Daphnia pulex: one gene and its partner. The protein of the gene in region 1 binds, or shares a complex with, the protein of each later gene. Links are inferred from orthologs where the notes say so. Each region holds a gene or a part of one and is shown on either strand. Other genes may lie near its edges. The genes, in order: pre-mRNA-splicing factor syf1 homolog and pre-mRNA-processing factor 19-like.

The links.
Region 2: pre-mRNA-splicing factor syf1 homolog (region 1) and pre-mRNA-processing factor 19-like share a complex: the UniProt entries of both Homo sapiens proteins name them as parts of the XAB2 complex. The link is inferred for Daphnia pulex from reciprocal best matches to the Homo sapiens genes XAB2 and PRPF19.

The regions. Positions count from the first base shown.
Region 1 is NC_060020.1:2,900,073-2,910,785, reverse strand, and holds pre-mRNA-splicing factor syf1 homolog, read right to left. Parts: upstream 6,367-10,713; 5' UTR 6,276-6,366; intron 6,215-6,275; 5' UTR 6,058-6,214; coding exon 6,016-6,057; intron 5,948-6,015; coding exon 5,799-5,947; intron 5,715-5,798; coding exon 5,591-5,714; intron 5,523-5,590; coding exon 5,098-5,522; intron 5,025-5,097; coding exon 4,892-5,024; intron 4,827-4,891; coding exon 4,437-4,826; intron 4,372-4,436; coding exon 4,186-4,371; intron 4,118-4,185; coding exon 3,458-4,117; intron 3,399-3,457; coding exon 3,303-3,398; intron 3,238-3,302; coding exon 3,118-3,237; intron 3,057-3,117; coding exon 2,814-3,056; 3' UTR 2,748-2,813; downstream 1-2,747. Other genes in the region: pre-mRNA 3'-end-processing factor FIP1-like, read left to right, coding at 6,394-6,480, 6,545-6,668, 6,799-7,007, 7,074-7,310, 7,369-7,581, 7,670-7,915, 7,978-8,090, 8,154-8,300 and 1 more. UniProt on the Homo sapiens protein: Involved in pre-mRNA splicing as component of the spliceosome. Involved in transcription-coupled repair (TCR), transcription and pre-mRNA splicing.
Region 2 is NC_060022.1:3,387,543-3,398,214, forward strand, and holds pre-mRNA-processing factor 19-like, read left to right. Parts: upstream 1-7,907; 5' UTR 7,908-8,020; coding exon 8,021-8,039; intron 8,040-8,134; coding exon 8,135-8,284; intron 8,285-8,346; coding exon 8,347-8,488; intron 8,489-8,548; coding exon 8,549-8,690; intron 8,691-8,754; coding exon 8,755-8,940; intron 8,941-8,996; coding exon 8,997-9,182; intron 9,183-9,261; coding exon 9,262-9,598; intron 9,599-9,665; coding exon 9,666-10,015; 3' UTR 10,016-10,153; downstream 10,154-10,672. Other genes in the region: TRPL translocation defect protein 14-like, read left to right, coding at 521-649, 1,196-1,332, 1,395-1,535, 1,597-1,789, 1,863-2,070, 2,136-2,320, 2,723-2,796; uncharacterized protein LOC124195731, read right to left, coding at 3,303-3,753, 3,808-3,965; heterogeneous nuclear ribonucleoprotein 27C-like, read right to left, coding at 4,572-4,753, 4,816-4,885, 4,960-5,195, 5,353-5,542, 5,650-5,757, 6,139-6,221, 6,797-6,998, 7,202-7,409 and 1 more. UniProt on the Homo sapiens protein: Ubiquitin-protein ligase which is a core component of several complexes mainly involved pre-mRNA splicing and DNA repair. Required for pre-mRNA splicing as component of the spliceosome.

The DNA of each region.
Region 1 (10,713 bases):
ACTCCGTCAAAACCACATTCACACTAGAGTGAATGAATGAGCAATGCATTGCAAAAAAAAAATCATGCCAATTAATTATCAAAGACTAAAAAATGGTGCTGCAAGGGCAACGGAATCAAGGCGATCGAGTTCCGTCTACATCAGAATATACCATTTAAAAAATGACGACAGCGTACGCCATTGTGTTTACATGGTCAGCTGGCTTGGATACAGGATTCTCGTAGACAGTATGACTACGATTCCTTCTGTTAAGTTATTTCTAGAAAAATCTAACAAGAACAGGAATTAACGTTCAATCATAAAAATCTGTTGATTGTTTTTTTGTTGATTGGCTTTTTGCTTATTGTAAGAAAAATGACCTGGAAAAAAGTCCGTGTCCAAATTGGGTTCTAGAATCACCGTATAACAACCACAGGGAATTTACATAGTCTGCAAGTTTTGTAGCCGGTCAATGCCTTTTCTTGTAAAAACGGTGCCATGACGTACGCAATGTGAGCTTTTAACTTTCTCTCCTCTCGCAGCTACGACTACACTTTTTCTCATCCCTCCTCTCACTGAACAATTTCGAAATCAACTTTACACCTTCTAGCCGGTCTTCCAGATTCCCGAATTTCACAAACTCGATTGAGGCTTGAAGCTAGACTACCTGTTATATCAGCAGCTATATAAGCATTGTTGAGGTTACTTTTGATCATAAAAGAAATCTCAGTTCGAGTGGAGAAATCCTCTTCTGTTCATCGCAATGAAGGTAGGCAGTAAAATAGTTTGATTATAAAGATAGTGCTACATACAAATTTCCAAAAAGATATTATATATAGCATTGCGAAAATAGATAATATTTTTTTGTTAATTTTAATTATTTGTTCTAATTGCTTCGCATTGCTCGCAGATATTTTCACTTCTCTTCGTTCTCTTCGCCATCTGCTTTAACGTGTTAATTGAAGCAGCTAGACTTGAATCAAATCCCATCATACAAACTGATCTCGAGGGTTCTGAATCGATACCATACGGAAGATATCCAAGTCGCAACCGCGGCCATCCTTACCTCGGGACAAGGCACACGCACCATCGCGTTGTCGGATGACGGGACAAGTTTCTCCAATTTGATGAGAGTGATAATCTTTCTGGACAAACCTGATTTAACTCATAGTTGCAGGGAAATTTACTGACCTTATTTTTGTGTCCTGAATCTTTGAAACGCAACAATTTTAATGACTCACGAAGATACGTACTGAAATGTACTTTATATCTTCACGTTTCATTTTTTTTTCATGTGCTAACGTTTATATCGTGAAACCTGCGAAAAATGTATTCGGACTTGAAACCACGATAAAATGTTAAACGAATTGCGTATTCCCAATTGAAAGCCTTTCAAGGGTAACTTCAGGGTGATCCAGTATTAATCGGCATGTAATACGATATTGTGCATTAAATATACACTTCCTGCATTGACACTTGCTTTTATTGCGCCAAGTTTCCCCGGCAGTGGAAGGACTAGCTAACCTTTCGTACATTTGAATCGCCGAGTAAAACAGAATGTGTGGGAAATACATACGGTCGTTTCCTGTTCTTTAGAGTTTGGTGTTTCCCTGAGAAGTAAAATCCTACAAATCAAAAGTAGGACAGACGACGAAAAAAATCGACAAATTTCATAGGCGAAAAAAAAAATCCAATAACCAATGAATAATCATTAAATTCCCGATAAATCTTTACGCTTTCCCACTATTCCTGGTACATCGGTGATTCAATTCCGACAAATAATTGCACATGTTTTAGCCATCCGTCGTACAGTGTCAAGGTAAAAGCTCGAGACGATGGGATTTTCGCACAAAATGGTCGAAACATTTACCGCGCGTCATTATGAAGGACAAGACCGTTTATGACTTTATGATAATGCCCTTGATCTGTTTAGAAGGTCTCATATTGTTTACTGTACGTGTTTCACAATACATCTGATAACGTTTTATAGTTAGGCCCATCTTAGCACAATCCGGTCCAGACGAAAGGAAACTCCTTCTACACCTGAAAGATTTCCCCTCCGGGAACTCTGTCCAGGATAAATAAGCCGTGGAGGGCCTTAAGCGTGTCATATAGAAAGTCAAAGCTGTTGAACGAACACTAGCTAAAAAAAAATCTCTCACTCAATCGCAATGAAGGTACGTAAAACACAAAAATTCAAAGAAAACTCTTTTAGTTATCATCAATGCAATATTTGATAACCGCATTGTAACGTAAATGTCACATGTTAAACATTTATGTAACAATAAGTTATAATTGTTCTGTTATAATTAGGTCGTTTCCCTACTCTTGGTTTTCGCCATTTCTTGTTCGGTGATCATGGCAGCACCCCAGAACTTTGAAGCCAACCCCAGCATATATGCAAATATCGCCAACGTGCATGCTAATATTGCTGATCTAGACACTGCTGAAGCCATACCCGGCCGCAGATACTACACCGGTAGCCGCACTCGTTCAAGAATGTCCGGTCGCGGTATGCATCGAGGATAAATTGCTACGTGATCTATCTATCGTGTTCTTCTGTTTCGCACTTCTTCGTACGACGTAATTGGCTCAGCTCAAGTCAATTTACTTGATATTACGCAATATTCCCGACAAACGTTTATGCCTTGGCAGAAAGATCGTCTATGTTGTAATTATTTGTATGCGTTGTCGTGAACGCAGCCTTAAATTAATGTCTTAATAAACGTTTATCAGTAATTACTAGTGAAATTAAAATGCACAGTACCTTTTCTGTAAAGAAAACTCATGTATTGAGCGATGGAATACGTTCAAAACTTCTTTTACGTTACTCGTTATTGGGCTTCTTCTTCATCTTCTTCATCCTTTTTCAAGCTACCAAAGACTTGACGTGGAACTTGCTGTTCTTCAATGGTAGCTTCCTCTTCTTCCTCGTCATCGTCTCCATCTTGATCAATGTCGATTTCGTCAGGGTTAGCAGCAGCAGCAGGGATGTCCTCGGTTGCGGAACCAGGCTGAGTTTCACTCCGGACGAACATGATGTTGCTCCCAGCTCGCGCCAGAGGCTTGGCAACAGGCTGATAAATTGTAAAAATTGCATTAAAAGAAGATAAAGAGAAATGTAACGAGTTTCATTACCACTGGAGGGCGAGATTCTTCAGCTTCTGCATCTAGCATTTTCATGCTATCCTGAGAAGCAGCCGCCGCTTCGGCAGTGTTGGTCGCAGCAGCTAACATTTGAGCTGACATCATATTGATCTAAAAGCGAAAAATGTAACAAGAAAATTAAGATCGGCTTCAAACTCATCAGGTTGAGACTTTACCTGTGTATTATATGTTGCCTGCACGCTGCGTTTGATTCGAAGCATTTCCCGCATCGTATCTTCGTTGCCATGGCGAATTTCAAACTCTTTCCAAACCTAAAAAAAATGATGGGTGAATAACTTTCTAGGACGGAATTGAATAAAAGATAAGATACCTTCCAAAATTCAGGCGCAACTCTGGGGTCGCACATTTGGCTGCAATGTCCGTATACAGCACGGGCTCTGTCAATTTCTCCCAATTTGCGCTCCAAATCGGCAAATCGCAAACACATTTCCCTAGCCTGGTGATCGGGTAGCTCTTCGATGGATCGTTCATAGATGTGGCGCGTCTTGGTCACACCATAAATCTCGGATGCCTTCTTTATGTACATATTGTACATGTCAAAGCGCTCATTTGCTGGCACAGCTTTGGTGGCTCTCTCGTAAACGTTCATAGCGTGACGGGCTAAGCCGTGTTCCTCTTCGAGTTTAGCGTAGAGCATAAAGAAAGTCTTGGCAAACTTATTCGGACATCCCTCAAGACACTGTTCAAAGAGATCTCGAGCTCGTTCCAATTTTGAGCCGCCGTAGCGTTTCAAAAACTTTGAGAGATAGGTGTTCCAGATGTCGTACACGTTGGGCCATTTGAAAAGAGCAACGCCACGTTCGTAAGCTTTAAAAGCTTCTTCAAAGTAGTTATTTTCCTCCAAAAAGATGGCATAGTTCATAATGATTTGCGGTGTTGCAATTTTCAACTCGAGGATACGGTCATACACGGCCTTGCATGTTTTGAAAGTACCAAAGCTTTCTTCAAGATCAGCGTACAAACCCCAAATCTAGAAAATAAAAATGTGACAATCGTAGAGAGATCATTAGAATGGAAGTGGCTAAAAATATAAAATACCTTCAGTGACTTATGAACACGTGTTTGCACTTGTTCGGCGTCATCATGGTAATTAATTTTGCGTGCAGGAGGAGTTGTAACACGGTGCATTAACTTGAGAGCTTCTTGGAAATGAGAATTTCGGATCTCCATCTCGGCCCACTCGCACCAAACAGTCGCCAGTTCATCAACTTTCACGTATTTCACCTTTAAAGTGACACAAAAATGATGAGGGGATCAAAGGCTTTTAATGCACTGCAAAAACAACTTACATGCGTAGCTTTTTCGAAAACTATCCGTGAATCGTCAATCTGATCATTTTTCTCATAAAATTTGGCAAAGTCGACCCACAGCGTGTGCACCTTTCCAATGGCCTGCTTTGGATCGACTGTCTGGACAGCCTCGGTAAAAGTATTGATAACTTCATGAGGTTTGCCCTCATAAAGCTGGACTCGTTTATGCCACTCGGCGACATTATGGGGGTTTTGACGTAAAAGAACAGAATTCAATAGCAAGGGCCGGCGATCCATTAAATCCTCAAAGCGGGCCATCCTCAACTCAACTTCAATATCATCGTCTTCTGTAGGATTAGGTTTCTGACCAATCTCTTCCATCATATGATTCAAATTCAACTCTTCAAACTGGGCATAGGCATCAAACACCTGTCGTAAATCAGAAAAACGTTAACTTGATTCGCATTAAATAAGACGACCACAAAGTATTTTACCTGTGTGAAGTCTCGTACTGTAGTAACTGTCTGAATGGCTTCTTCGTAAATATCTCTTGCTCTTTCAAACAAACCACTTCTAATATAGTAATCGGCAAGGGAATTCCAAAGCTGGCCAAGTTGATCAGTGTACCTACATAAGAATCCAGTAAATTATTCCTATGTTTGTAAAAATATTTGCATTTAATTTTTTTCCAGACACTCACCGTCGAAGACCTCCTCGAATGATTGCATCCACGTTAAGACTTTTAATTTGCTTGGGATTTTTCGAATTAAGTTCGCACAGTTCATTCCACAGTTGGTGGTTTGATTTTCCTGTCTTCGAAACAAAGCTGTCCTTGTTCACAATCTGGGCAAGTTTAACAGCTGCCTCATCAAGTCTGTCAATAGATTTTAAGTAATCGACAAATTCCTCTGCATCTTCGGTCGATAGTTTAAGAAAACGACGGAAAACTCGAACAGCTGTTTCTGGTATTGGATGCATTTTAACAAACTTCAAGTAGAGGGGCCAAATTCTGGAATGCTGGGTGATTGGCAAGGCTCTTAGAGCACGGTCAAAGACCTTTCTCGTAGTGGTAATCTTCTGTTGAAGAGTCAGAAACTTGCAATAGTCCATCCAAATCCTTGGCATCTATGGTATTCATTAAAAACATGGTATTTAATAATGTGTGATAATAATATAATTGGCATTTAAGATACCTTGTGCATGAATACCAATGCTCTTTCAAAAGTATTGTTGGCATCTTCATACAGTGGATCTGTTATACAGCGACCTTTAGTTTGCTTCCTTCTTAGGCAGAGATAACTGTACCATAGTTTGTAACTGTGAAGAGACAAACATGTGGATAGTTGAAAATGAGTACAAACTTATTTACTATGTACTACTACAAGAACCAATCAAACGAACCTGCCAGGCATTTCCTTCAAAGCTCTCTCATAAATCAAATTGACAACAACAGGAGGGGCATCCTTTTTGAACTCGCAATAGCGAAGCCAATGTTTGACAGAGTAAGGGTTCCGTAGAATCTCCTCTTCATACGCTAAATCTTCTTCACACTTTAAAGACAGAAGACATATTGTTAAAACCTATTAGTCAACTTCAATATAAAACAATGTATTATTACCAAAACAATGTCTCCAGTTTTCTTCCCTATACTTTTATCCATTTTGTTTATGAATTTTCTCGCAGCCACTCGGCTCAAATAAAATTTAACAAATAAATTTACGAACCAAACGTAAATGCACGTCTGCCGGGTGAAGTGTTGCCAAGTTGCACACTTACGTCTAACCCAAATTAAAGTTGAATTTTGTCCCTAATAGCGTCTTTTTATATAACGAGATCATTATAAAAATGGATTATCACAAGTTTTTATAGTAAAAATACCTTATTTTTGCGTTTGATGTGAAACAGCGACAGCCGACAAGCCACAAGCGTACATTCGCTGTTGTTTGTCCCCTCAGGCCTAAATTGAAGTGGGGTCTTCTGCTGTTTACAACCGAATATGGCCGACACTGTCCGGCACCCAGATGAGGCAGATAATTCTAATTCACAATTCCCTTATTCCTCGGAACAGTTACCAGATGAATACGTGAGTTTAAAAAAAAAATTATTGTTCGTCAACTGAAATTGATACTTGTCTCTTTTTTTTTCAGGGCGATGATGGAAAAATCGACCAAGACACCACCGGTAATGGAGAAATGTACGAAATCGAAAATGAAGATCATATTGCCATAGACAGAAATGACGGAAATACGGAATACGCTGGAGAAGGCTATGGTAATTTCATGTACATTTTTAATTATGGAAAAGTTCTTCAACTATTATCCCTTGTCTCTTTCCCTGTGTTGAATCGCTTGTCTGGTTTTCCCATAACAGTTTTAACATCCTGTATTTTCTATTGTAAAAGATCCAGAAGAAGCTGCAGAGACTAACGAAGAAAAGGATGAGAGACAAGATGAAGATCAAGACAATGATGACGATGAGGATGATGAAAGTGATGATGACGTACAAATCACGATTGGTGACATAAAATCTGGCCCAGCAGCTTATGCTGGTTTTAATGTCAAAAGAGGAACAGCTGGAACAACGGCACAAGGATTGGGGGAAAAGAGCAAAGTATACATTGAGCTACATCATGTTTGATGCAAGAGTTTGTTTTTAACATATGTATCTTATCTTAAGTTCACTGTGGAAGAGTTCGAAGGCTCAATGGCGATTAACGGTGTACCAGCACATGAATTTAGTTTGGATTCGCTGGAAGATAAACCTTGGAGGAAGCCTGGTGCTGATATCACTGATTATTTTAATTACGGTTTCAATGAAATAACGTGGCAAGCATATTGTGAGAGACAAAGGCGATCCCGTATGGAGTCTGGGGCTGGTGTTCCGGCTAGCCTTGGATTAGGACCCCCACCCAAGGTAATAAAATACGTAAACAAATGAAGCTCAAAGACGATATTATTATTTTTTGATTCAGATGATGGCGACCCCGGCCCAAGCGATTCCGATATCAGTGGTTAACGAAAATTCAAAATATGCGGGGTCAGTGGTTGTGAAAAAAGCAGGCCCTCCGCCAGCACGCAAAATGGCTGGTGCCATTGATGTCATTGGTGGAGGGAATCTATCTTCACGCCGACCAGAATCAGGCGTTTCACCTGCTCCTTCTATGGAGGAGCAACCTCCCGAAGTGGTAAGGCCCCGTATCCTTAATAAAATATTCATCCAAAGTCAACCAAAAAACTTTAAAGTTTATTATTTAAATTTCATTTTAATATCAGCCTGAAGCTCCTGTGGAGAAACCTCCCGTATCGATCGATTTCTCACGTCCTCCTCCTGGTTTTCCAAATATGGCTCTACCTCCTCCATTTGGTATGCCGCCACCAGTAATTCCACCACCAATGATGTTACCACCACCACCTATAGTACCTGATCCCTACGCCAATGAGTTCATGGCTGGCCCAGGAGCTCCTGGCGATGATTATTACCAATACGAACCTACTCAGGATTCACAGTGGGGATCTTCGGTAAGGATTTTAAAGACCATAACAGAAAACAAAACAAAATAAAAATAACTTTTTCCTCTTAGGACTGGAGAGGACCACCACCTATGGGAATACCACTACCAATGGGAATGAACCCACCGGGAAAGCAAAGAAGAGAGAGCCTGGGGACCCCTCCTGTTCCTGGAGAAGAATCTCGGTACTGTATATAAGTGGTACTCGATCTCCGTACAGCATTTGATTAGCTCTTCCTTGCAAATAGGATAAGCAGCAGCAGTCGAAGGCGCCGTAGCTCGCGCAGTCGCTCCCCTAAAGACGACCGAGAAAAAGAAAAAGAAGTGGAAAAGGATCGAGGCAAAGACAGAGAAAGGGATCGTGACCGCGATAGAGACCGAGATCGCGACAAACGGTAAGAGGAAAATCAAACGTTGACGAGCTTCTTCTGAAAATGCAATTGATATATTTCGTTCAACTTACACAGGGATCGACGCTCGGATAAGGACAAAGAGCGTGTAAGTGGCCGTGACCGGGAAAGAGATCGTGATCGTGACCGAGGAGAAAGAGACCGTAGTGATCGTAGACGTCGTCACCGAGGCAGTAAAAGTCGGAGTCGGAGTCCCACTTCTCATAAGCGTTCCTCCAAGCGCTCAAAGAGGGACAGAAGTAAAAGCAAAAGCTCGTCTGATTAGTTTTCGATACTCGGATTTCACTCCCTGCCTTTGTTAAATTTTGCGCAATTGGCCCAATTTAAAAAAATACACTCCTTTTTTCATTTACCTATTTTTGTTGATTTTCCTGAGTTATTCGTCTTAATCACAATTTATTTCAGCCCATCGAATAAGATTCAAAAAGAAAAGATTCCAACGCATATATTCGGGATGTATTTTTTTTCAAAAATGAAAGAGGGTAAAGTCGGTTGCACAAAGAGTGTGTGCTATTACGGAAATACATATGGAGGTGTTGTCTTTTTTCCAACCACAGAATTTAATATTAAAAAAAAGGAAAACTGTCTTTTCGATGGAGAGATTGAAAGAGAGAAGCGTTGATTTTCCAGAAAAAAAGGATTTGAGGAAGGAAGCGGATGTGGGATGTCGAAGAGCGAATTCTGGAGGGGACGATTTTTTTGTACATGAATCATGTTTACAAGGGGGGTGGGATAGGGGAGGAAAGAGCACTAGTGATATTTTTTACAGCATTTCGTAATTTCAATACATAACACCAGCGTTTACAAGGATACATTCTAATAATAAAGGTCGAAATAAAAGCCAAAATCAGGAAATAACTGACGCAAAAACCAAGGGATTGTAGGAAGGGGAGAGCTACACAAGAAAAGAAGGGACAAATGTCCAAAAGGAAGTTGGTGAGAATTAAAGAGAAAAAAGAAACAATTCACAAAATATTGGTCCGTGTGAGAAGAATCCACGGGATAAAGAGCAAAGAATTTGAAATAAACCAAGTAGCGTCAGCAATAAAGGAAATCTACGAAGCGGACCGGCGTTCTACAACTGAAAAAAGAAAAAAAAACAATAGGAAATCGAGGAGTTGAAAGTTTTGGAGAAATCCGCAAAAAAAGGACCCACAAAGTTGGTGACGTATCGTAGCGAATGAGTGTGTGGGGGTCACACCACACAGCTTGACTGCCGCACACAACGTAAATTTACAGTCGATGGGTGGAGAAAAAGGAGAGAAAAGAGCATTTTCCTTCAAAAATCTTTCCACTGTTTTTACTTCGCTTGGTTTTTGTTATGTAAAATAATGGAAAAGGTTCGCTCTTTTCACTTTTGCCGCTGTACACTTTACAGAAAACCAAAACGCTAATTGAGGATGGGAAATTCTGTTTTGGGATCAAGTAAGGGGAAATTGATGTCATTTCTCAAGTCAATGAAGGAAGGGAGAAGCAATGAACAAAACAAGGAACAAAAAAAAAATGAAATAAACAAATCGTGGTGAAAGGAGTTGTTTCGTTTTTCTTGATTGGCAACGGCACCTCCAATCTCCCAAACGGAGTGTGTAGCTTGTAGAAATTTACGAAGAAACACAGAAGCAGAGAAAACAAAATCAATAAGCAAGCGCAACTCAGCGTAGACACGAAGTGGGTAAAAAGGAAGTGATCAAATAATGGACCACCAAGATGGCGATCTAAACCGACCCCTTTAAATCTAGCGAATTGAAGTGAACATCTGGGAGAGAGGAAAAGAATCAAACACAGAGCTGTTTTCATTTTCGGTGGATTGATGATTCACAGCCGCGAAACTTATCGACACAATCCATCAAATACCGATCGAGAATCCAAGAGAAACTCGAATGAGACGGTGGAAGAGAAAAGTTATTTCTTCCCCCTTCCGACTTTATAACGTAATATCATGCAGAGTTGGAGGATGGTGAGGGGAGGATGCGGACCAGTCGATTGAATGAGGATAGATGAAGTCGAAAAAAAAAAGGTTTAAAGTAAAAAAATACGAAGGGAAATTTCCTGTACAATGTACACATGTAAGGAAAAAGCTGTACAATGTACACTACCACAACGTATGGTACAAATGGTCAGTTGAGAAATCCAAGAAAGTTTTGAACGTTACTTTTTACCCTTGACAAAACCAGAAAGAACTTGCCCGTTTCCTTTCCCTACCCACAAAAAATTGATTTATATCCGTCAACTTAAAAAAAGAAAAAAAAATTAATAATAACAAAAATGGTGTTGGCTTCCCAATCAAAACAACGCATTTTTATGAGAAGATGGGAGAGGGAGGAAAAAGAGAACCAAAAGTTGAGAATTTTTAAACCAAGATGTGTTTTTTTTTTGTCTTGTTGTTGTTAACTGTCGT
Region 2 (10,672 bases), on another chromosome or scaffold:
CAAGCCTTAAACCTTCCGTGTATTCCTTGGCACGGATGTAATTGTTTCGTGTTCAACTGTGGTGAAACTAAAAGGATGAGAAAAAAGTTGCGAAACTTTGTTATGGATTCATGATGGATGGGTTAGATATCGCCCGCCGGAATAGCGGACATTCGAGCCTTTGTATATTGGGGTTCAATTTGCTGCCAAGTGAAGCCTCGTCAGTGGGACTTGTTATCGATGGGAACCGACTGCAAATGTTAGATGCTGAAAGAATGCGCATTGCTTGAGGTTTAGTCGATTCCCGTTATCCGCTTTCACTGATCAAATATCATCCCCGCATATCGTCTGAAGGCGATCGAACTGAATCATTGATGACCCCCCTCCTCCTTCGACCGATCGTGTGTCACGTTAACAAAAGGATGTGGTCAAATGTACACGTCCATCCCGTATTGATTGGTCATTAGACTCCAGTTTGCAATTGTGTTGATGATATGTAGTTTAATCAAATTATCATCTCGTTTTATTTCCTCTCATGCAGCTATCACATTTCAAGAGAACTTGCTGAAGACGATGATCCAAATGGAGAATACATTTTTCGCTCTTGCTGAACATTTCAACCGCGATTGCATTATTATTTGCGACCGAGGAACTATGGACGCATCCGCATGTAAGTTGCCATAGAGATTTCGTTCTCATTTTTCCACGTGAATAATTTAGTCTAGCTCAGTTGCAAGTAAGGATGGATCTATAGTGACATGCCCCACGAACATGTTAGTAAACCAATACTAGTGGTCCGATTTCGCTTTGAATCGAACAGGAGATGAAGTTGGCGAGATCGTGCAGAAATTGCGTGATTCCACGTGAAGCACGTACGCAAAGTATTGATTGCTGAAAGTAGTACATCCCGGAGATTAAATGATTTCTCCAACTTCTTCACGAAATGTTGCCAGTATAATATAGCTTCGCGGTTTAGTAATTAAATGCGCGGTTTCTAGCATAGATAGCGTGATATTCGTTAAACCAGTTTCACCTTGATAAATAGCATGACCATAAAACTCAAGGTTATTGAGAAAACGCTTGGCTCAAGTTTATGTTATCAATATATAACATGTGTATGTAATTGTGGTTAATGGAGTTTTACGCAATAATAAGTCAATGTCGTTTCACATTTTATCTCATGGATTATGTCTATTAAACTAGTTATTTTTATTAGTTGTCTCAAAGGAAGTTTGGGAGCAGTTGATGAAAACAAACGGGTGGAATCCGGTTGAGCTAAGAGACACGAGATACAACCAGATAATCCACATGGTATCAGCTGCCAAAGGCGCTGAGGACTTTTACACTACTGAGGTAATAACATACATTAAAATGAAATTTAGTGATACTCATTCATGTTTTTAAATCAACAACAGGATCACTCTTGCCGGAGTGAAAATCTGGATTTGGCCCACACACTAGATGATCGTGCGGCTGAAGCTTGGATTGGCCATCCTTATTTTGACGTTATCGACAATTCGACTAATTTCGATACTAAACTCCGTCGCATGATTAGCGTAAGCTTACGGTAAATTTTGTTTATTCGGAACAACTTATTTTCATTCGTCGATTTTATAGGCCGTATGTCAGCGAATGGGTCTGGACACTGGAGACCGTTTGGAAACCAACGCTAAGAAGTTCAAGTTCTTAGTTCGTTCATTGCCCGATGACAGTATGTTTCCTCCTTTTGAGGATTTTGACGTCATTCATGACTATTTACAGACCAATTCAAAGAAGACGCAAGCTCGCTTAAGAAAAAGAGGCCAAAAAGGTGAGCTTCTATCCGTAGGATTAATAATTTGATTGAATTCGTTGTGTATTGATTGCTCGTTGCATGTCGCTAGATCGCTGGAGTTACACCTTAACTGTACGTCGGCCGGAAGTACGTGGTCAAGTGGTAGAAATCAAGACGCAAATCACCAGCAGAGATTACACTAACATGCTGGAGCAACGTGATCCTTTTCACCTAACCATTTTAAAGAAGAGACGTTGCTTTCTCTATCACAACCAGTATTTCCAACTGGATATTTACAAAGAGCCTTGCCATCCGAGGTATACTTAGCAATTGGATTTTTTCCAACAGAAACACTTCACTATACCAAAAACGCTTTTCATAGATGCCACGGCCTAGTGTTGTTGGAAACGTATACGACGCAATCGTTGGAGGAATTCCAAGCTAATAAATTGCCCGATTTCCTTGACATTGTCGATAACGTGACGGGCGATCCGACCCACTCTATGTACAACCTTTCTCTTAAAGAGGAATGGTTAAATAATAAAAAATTCTGCTTCAAACTTGCAGGTAACGCAATATCCGATAACAAATATTTGGTATTTTTCTTGTGTGTGTTGTGGAAATCCTGGGAGGGTTTGTACCGTTCACAGGGGAGTTCACATACATTGTGGGGAAATATTGTGTAAGTTATAGTTACATATTAAAGGATCCATATTTTAAATTATTGACTCAGCTGAATTGCACGAGGAATTGGGCTGAGGTAAGGAACACCGAGCTTGATGGCTAATGATCGAGTCGGATGCATGCGTGTGTATCATAGGAGAATTTTCACCACAGAATTTATTTAGCAAATCACAATTTTTTCGTATCCTAGTATTTGTTCCTTATTTTCTACTTTTATTTTAAGTTTAAGTCTCGTAGAATTTGACTAATAATTTTTTTTTGTATCTGAATATCAAAAATCTGCAGCCGACGACGAAGATGACCTGACTGGAAGCCCTCGAACCAATGGCTGGATAGGACCACACGTTAATGGAGTTTAGTAGCGATTCTCAGCACATATGGTCAAGGGCACGTTAAGTAACCGACTATTAAATCTGATTCCTGTGAGTCTCAGTTCTTATTCAAGTTATTCTACTCTCACTATATCAACTCCCCCCCCCCCCCACATACAAAGGTAAAAGAAGAAATAAAGAAAGCAAGAATAGAAAAATTTTCTGGGAACACCTGACTCATGATAACTACGATTTTCTTACTGCTGCTTTGTAATAACTACAAAAGTTGCAATACGCTCGTGTTAAAGTTATTAGCTAGTCTACTAAATGATGATCGCCGATAAACTGTAGCATTTGGCCGTCAATACTTAAGCGACCGTGTTACAATTTCTTCATTTACCCTTTACAAGTGCATTATATCCCATGTAGTATTAAAATAACCTTCATTTTCTTAGACAAATACAATATTGTATTCTTGCAGTAATACAAATTCTGGAAATTTCAAGTGTATCATTTTAACATTTACAAGTTGAATTTAAGTTCAATGGTGCAGATTATGCCCCTTTACCTTTTTTTGCAGTGTAACAACTTTGACTGGTAGCAGAAATTGGTCTTTTTGTTGCATGAGAAGTGGTTTGAGATGTAATGACAGAGTCCTGATCATAATCAGAACTGCTTACACTTTGCTGATTTATTTCTTGATTTTGTTTCTTCTGCAAGAGCTCAGAGTCATGAGCAAAGACACAGTTTGACCCAAATCTGCACCTCCCTTTCCTATAGTTCCAGCAAATTTTTCTCCCATTGATTTCTTTGATGTCTTCAAGTTTGGGGGTGAATTTTACATGCTTTTCAAGTGTGCCCTTTTCTGCTTCCTCTGCTTCTTTGTATGGATTTGCAAACACAGATTTTCCTGACACTGAAGTCTCTGAACTGCGAAAAGGGTTTTTCAAGTTCTTTAAATGTTCATCTTGCAACGAAAAGTTATCTGCTTGATCGTTTTCTTCACTAAAAAATGAAATATTTAGAAATTTAAAAAATTCATAGAGAAATTTGTCATACCCACTACTACTATCATCAAAAACCTGAAAAAAATTATTTTTGATTTTTGATTTCACAGGATCTTCAGCAAGTTCTGTTTGTGTTGATTCTTTTGTTTCCGTTCCAGAACTTTCCGAGCTATCCGATCCATAACCCACCAACAAATTTAACGAAGTCATCTAATTTTTTATCGTAGAAGCTTAACGAGTGCTTAATTTAAACTAAAGAAATGGTGAATTATTTAAAATTTTAGTAGATCTCTTAACTGACTTGCAGAACAATGTGTAGTTGTGTTGTGTACTGTACATTGTTGCAGACGACATTACCCAAAACACAAGAGAAGTCATAGGGTTACCCAGCCCTCTGTTGAAAAAGTTTAGAGACAGGTTTTTTTTTTCAAAGATAAGTGATCAGTAGTTTATTAAATATCAAAGTGTAAATCGTGATTGTTATTAGTATAGATCAGTACCAGCAAAATTGCAATTCAATCAACGTGTAATCGGAAGTTTGAAAGTGCATACTATCTCGGATTTTTTTAAAGAAACTTGCACACAAGGATTTAAGAACTAATTAACTACAGTTTTATTCGAACGCATCGAAAAGTCATGAATAGCTCAGGTTCAGAACGTAATGTTAGGGCGGGATTCAAAGAGAAACGTCGAAACGATACAGACAAGAACACACCGAATGCACGACAGATTGGCCATCATTTAAATGTTTGTCCAGCCATAGGGCTAAGCAATGTGCAACTTAAAACACACAAAAAAAAAACACTGATGATTTTCTCAAACGCCTCCTCGGCGATATGGGTGGTATTGAGATTGCGACGGCTGGTGGTGGTGACCACCTCCTCGTTGAGGACCCGGTCCTCCAGGGCCAGCAGCTCCGGCTCCTGCTCCAGGAACACCAAGACCATTACCGGCAGGTGCAACGCCAGGTGGTGGGACTCTTTCTGGATTTCCATAGCCTAAAAAAATAACCATAATTATCATAAAGATCCTTTTTTGTAAAAACTAAATTAACAATCACCTTGTCCACCTCCATATCCTTGAGCGTTAGCTTCTTGGGCGTATCCTCCTCTGTATCCTTGGTTAACGTCCTTGGATAATAATAAAAAAAAAAACGATTGAATTCCTAAAAAAATGTAACATTTGACTCGCACAATTAACTTACTGTTCCATAGCCATTAGTTCCGTATCCAGCACCGTACTGAGCAGGTTCAGCTTTTACTCCAGGAACTCCAGGTCCAGTAGGGGCAGCTGCGCCCGGAGGACCACCATTAGTTGGGTTAGGACCTCTACCATACATATCGCCGTTGGGACCTGGGCCACCAGGTCCACCTCCTTGTGGGCCCGGTCCTCCCCAATTCCAGTTGTTGTATCCACCTTGTTGAGGTCCACCTTGAGGGCCTATATAGTTTAACACGTTCTTATTTTCATTCATCTACGCGGTATCAAAGACAATGTGATTCATGGAAAAACTTCTATTTAGAAAATCTCAGCCAATTTATCTTCGAAATATATCCTGGAGAAGAAACAATCACTTTATCAGCATACACTTTATTACCATAGCCATAATTAGCTCCTGGTCCTCCTCCATATCCTCCCCACTGCCCTTGTGGGCCCCATCCTTGATATCCACCTTGGGGTCCATATCCATATCCACCTTGATTGGCAGGTCCACCCCATCCTTGATAACCACCACCCATGGGAGGGCCCATCGGTCCACCCATTGGGCCACCCATAGGACCCATACCCTAAATGGCAAAAACGCAAAAAAAAAAAAAGAAAAAAGAAAAACACAAATCGATTATTTAAAATCTGTTTGTAACTTAAGTTTGAGCAAGAAAGCTTAGTGACTTACCCCATGCATTCCCATTCCCGGACCTTCCCATCCACCATTGTGTCCTCCACGTCTCATTCCACCAGATGATCCTCGAGTATCACGGGGCTCTGCTTTCTTGATTTCAACCTATGGTCCAAAAGAAATCTTTATTCCTTGTTTGATGACTAATGTTAATTCTAACATTAGAACGAATTATTATGCATTCATATTTTTTTAAAACAATAAAGAGAGCTCACCACCGACCTTAACTTGTTACATTATTGATAAGATTATCTATTGTTTTCTATGAGTTAATTACAATTACTATTTAGAAGACCAATAGATTGGTACAAAGACCAGCTTAACTCGACGGTTAGATACATTTTCTAAATAAACTTTAAAAATATATAAGATCAAGTGTCGGCGAGGTTTAAACAATGGTGAGCCCTGATTATTCATACTTCCGATTGCGTTTTTCACAAAGAGTAAGGGAGAGGGACATTGGTTGTTGTTTTGATGATAGAATACCTGCTTTCCATTGATTGAAACATAGTGTTCACCAGTGCAGCGATCCACCGACTCCTCCGATTCAAAGGTCAAAAAGCCAAAGCCTGTCCCAAGGTTTTCCAAATTGCTTATTACACTTTTTTTATACCACTTTTCTTTACATCTTTCTTTGATCTCATTAATAATCATTAGAAGAAATCTTGGGACAGGCCTGACTAAATTATTTTTCAACCATAACTTTTGACTGTAGATCTGATGAGATTGATACCGGATTCTAATACTTGAAGAGAAATAAATCTAATACATCGTTAAAAACTAGAGTTGTGATTATGAAAGAAATATTGACTCAACCCAATGGGTATGCCAATATTTAGTCAGATGTAAAACTTGTAAATCCACCCTCCCAAGTTCCTTAATGGCATATTATCTACTGTAATTCGCGGAAACTCTTTCACATGAGCAGTAGAAGTAAACGTGGATAGGAACTTAGCCATTTGCTTACCTATAGGAATAAAATAACCACACTATTAAAGTTAGCAAAGTTATCAAAAAAGGAATCCATCGAATCTTCGGAATATAACCACTTACACTTGCGTCATACGTTATGTAAGGACGTTCATAGTTTATTTACGCTGTTTTAATTAACTTTAATACCCACTAATTGAGGAAAGTGACTCACCTCGAGATTTTTTCTTTTCTTGGTCGTACATGATAACGACTTCAGAGACCTTTCCGTACTGCGAGAAGAAGTTACGAAGATCTGTTTCTGTCAAGTTTGATGGAAGCCCACCTAAAAATACTTTGTAACCATTTCCTGTACCCATACTCCGGCGAGGAGCGCGTACCATTTCGGCACGTGGATTACAAGGTTTGGGGTCAATCTGCATAAACATAAAAATATGAGATCATAAAAAACAACCAAAAATGTAGAAAGAAATCAAATATATATCTCAAGTTGAGATATAAACTTCAATTCCTTCCACTTCTATGTAGCAATACCGCGAAAGGAGATAAAATTATGTTAAACATTCTATCACCGCTCAGGTAGTGCAAATAAGAGTATGAAGAAAATATAAAAACTTACTGTGCGATTATCGAGTATATGGGGTGTGTTTTGTAGTACTAAACCAACATTGTTAGGATCAGCAAATGTAATGAACCCAAACCCTCTCGATCTACCAGTTTCTGGGTTCTTCATTACCACACAGTCAACAACTTCACCATACTGACTGAAATATCGAAGCAAATTATCGCGCGTCGTTTCCCAGCTTAAACCTCCGATGAACATTTTACTAAAAAAACAAGATTCGTACCAAAAAATAGTAAATGGACGCAAATCATGAAAAGCTTAGTGTACGGCGTCATGGATTTACATTCTCCCATGAACTTCACATGTCATATTATAAATGGAAAAAATTTCTTACCCTTGTTCATTCGAATTATCACCACCTTCTTTTCCAGGGAATTTTTGTTGAGAGGCCATTGTTCAGTTTAAATTGAATATAACAGTAAACGAATCTTTCAAATTTTCGAGGAGTGTTCGCACTGCGCTTGGGTTGGCTTCTTCAGTTGAGAAATGGGGGAAATGGCTGGCCCGGCATTTCAGTCAGTTTGCACCGTTGCCTGGACACTTTTTCTAGTTGAAAACTTGAAACTTAAATTATGAAATTATTACTTATAAAAAACTATGCTGTTTCTTTTACACATTCCAATAAAAAAATTTCTGAGTCTTAAAAAAATGATTGGATTTTGAAAAGAAAAGAAAACTCGCACTGAGGAATGAAGCGCTTTATTGAATAGTGTAGTCTAGCAACTGTTTAGCCCTAAGCGAAGCGAACATATGCATCTTGGCTTGTCGCACATTTTTGTGAAAAGTATATAAAAAAAGGTTACACGCTTCATCATGGCCCTCTGTTGTTCTCGTAATATTACATTTTCATTATAAATATCAATTTAAAACCAATCCATTCTTCTGAGAAATTTGATATTTAATGTCTTATATCTCTTGCTTATATAGTGTCGAACGAAGTTCCCGAACATCCTGTGGTCTCACCGGTGTCAGGATCTGTGTTTGAACGTCGGCTGATTGAAAAGTACATTGCTGATAACGGGGTAGATCCCATCAATGGGAAAGAAATAACTGTAGATCAACTTATTGAAATCAAAAGTAAGAAATTTTTTATCAAAGTTCCACAATGAATTTACATGTAATTGAAATTTTGTTTCTAGCCCCCCCAATTGTTAAGCCTAAAGTGCCATCTGCAACAAGCATTCCCGCCGTGCTTAAGTCTTTACAAGATGAATGGGATGCTGTCATGTTAAATTCCTTTACTTTGAGGCAACAATTACAAACTGCTCGACAAGAATTGAGGTATTGACCAACTTAATTACACATGGAATTATTGTGCAAACATTCTCTTTCTATTTGTAGTCATGCTCTCTACCAACATGATGCTGCTTGTCGTGTTATTGCACGCCTCCACAAGGAAGTGTCTACAGCACGGGAAGCACTTGCAACTCTTAAGCCCCAGACTGGCTATGCTGCTGTATCTACACCATCTGTTGCTGCCTCAGTAAGAAAGCATTATGATATTTATTTGTATGTTATTTATGATAAATTTACTGATTTGATGTAAGGCTGAAGCGGGTGGTGTGGCAGCACAACCGATCGAGGCAGCTGGATTAACTCCGGAAATCATATCACAATTACAAGATAAAGCCACTGTTCTTACTCAAGAACGAAAACGTAGAGGCAAAACCATGCCCGAAGGCTTAGCTACAGCAGAAGCTTTGAAGGGATATAAAACTTTGGCATCTCATCCGGTAATGACATATAATTTTGAAATGTTATCCCATCTTCATGGATTGATTACATATAGGCTTTGCACAGTGCAAGTATGCCCGGAATTTTGACCATGGACGTTCACGCCGCCGATACTTCTCATATTTTGACTGGAGGTAACGATCGATGCGCTACAGTTTTTAACAAGGACACTGAGCAGGTTGTTGCTGTTCTCAAGGGACATACAAAAAAAGTTACCAAGGTGCTTTATCATCCAGAAGAGGTAATTTCATGTTTTCTTTTAATTTTCTCTTGATTTACTTTGTTATATGATACTAATATACCCCTTGAATCTGTTATAGGAAGTCGCGATAACAGCATCTCCTGATGCGACGATTCGTGTTTGGAATATAACCGGCTCCTCACAATCTGCCATCATCCGTGCTCATGATGGCCCTGTCACAGGCTTGTCGCTCCACGCAACCGGAGAATATGTTTTGTCGACGTCACTGGATCAACACTGGGCATTTTCAGACATTCGCGTTGGGCGGTTGTTGACAAAGGTTGCCGACACAGACGGAAATCCGCTTACGACAGCCCAGTTCCATCCAGATGGTCTCATTTTCGGCACTGGAACACAAGATTCACAGATCAAAATTTGGGATTTAAAAGAACAATCTAACGTGGCCAACTTTCCAGGTTTGGCTCTTTTAAAATAATCTTGTGATAAACATTAGCTTTACTATTACCATTTTTACAATTACAGGTCATTCCGGTCCTATTGCGGCTTTGTCATTTTCAGAAAATGGTTACTATTTGGCTACAGCGGCAGAAGACTCTTGCGTCAAATTGTGGGATTTACGGAAATTGAAGAATTTTAAAACAATTCAGCTCGACGAAGGATACGAAGTTAAGGACTTGTGCTTCGATCAAAGCGGCACCTACCTTGCTGTGGCTGGTACCGACGTGCGTGTTTATCTCTGCAAGCAATGGGAAACTCTTAAGACTTTTAACGACCATACAGCATTGGCTATGGGAGTCCGTTTCGGCAACCATGCGCAGTCGATAGCGTCTGTGAGTATGGATCGTACGCTGAAAATTTATGGCATCGAGTGATTCACTGTATTCAATGTTGAGAGGGGATTTTTAAATGAACATTTTTCGTCTTATCCTTTTTTTTGCTGTAAGGTGTGCAAACCGCATCGAACTCTCGCCCTCACAAAAATACACGCGTTTCATTTTTCCCATCAAAAACAATTCTACGAGTGTATATCGATAGTTAAGTTTCCCGCGTTACTATCGATACATTAAATAAAACAAAAAGCTTCGAAATTTTGTCACTAGTGGCGTGGCAGTTCGCTTGGCATTTTCGCTTTCTTGAAGCATATCCCAATGGCGGCTTAGGCAATCGATGCATCGGCCGCTCCTTCGTACAGGGGTTTATGTATTTGGCCTAAAATGCCGGTCGACTCTTGTAAACAAGGAATAGTGAGATCATACTACGTTAATTTCAAATTTCATAGTTCAAATTCTTCATATTGGATTGCTATCCTGAATCAAGATTTTTCCAGATAAAGTACGAGGTAAGTCGCCCAAAAACAGTTCCTTCAACCGTCGCTTCTATCAAGTTGCATTGTTGCATCTTTTGTAATTGGAAGCGTGGTTTTGTTGAATGAATAAAATTTTCTGCCCTTCAAAAAATTTGTCTTCTTTAATTTGACGCATTTTTTTTTCTCCCTAAAGAGTTGACACAACTACTTTAATTAGCTTACA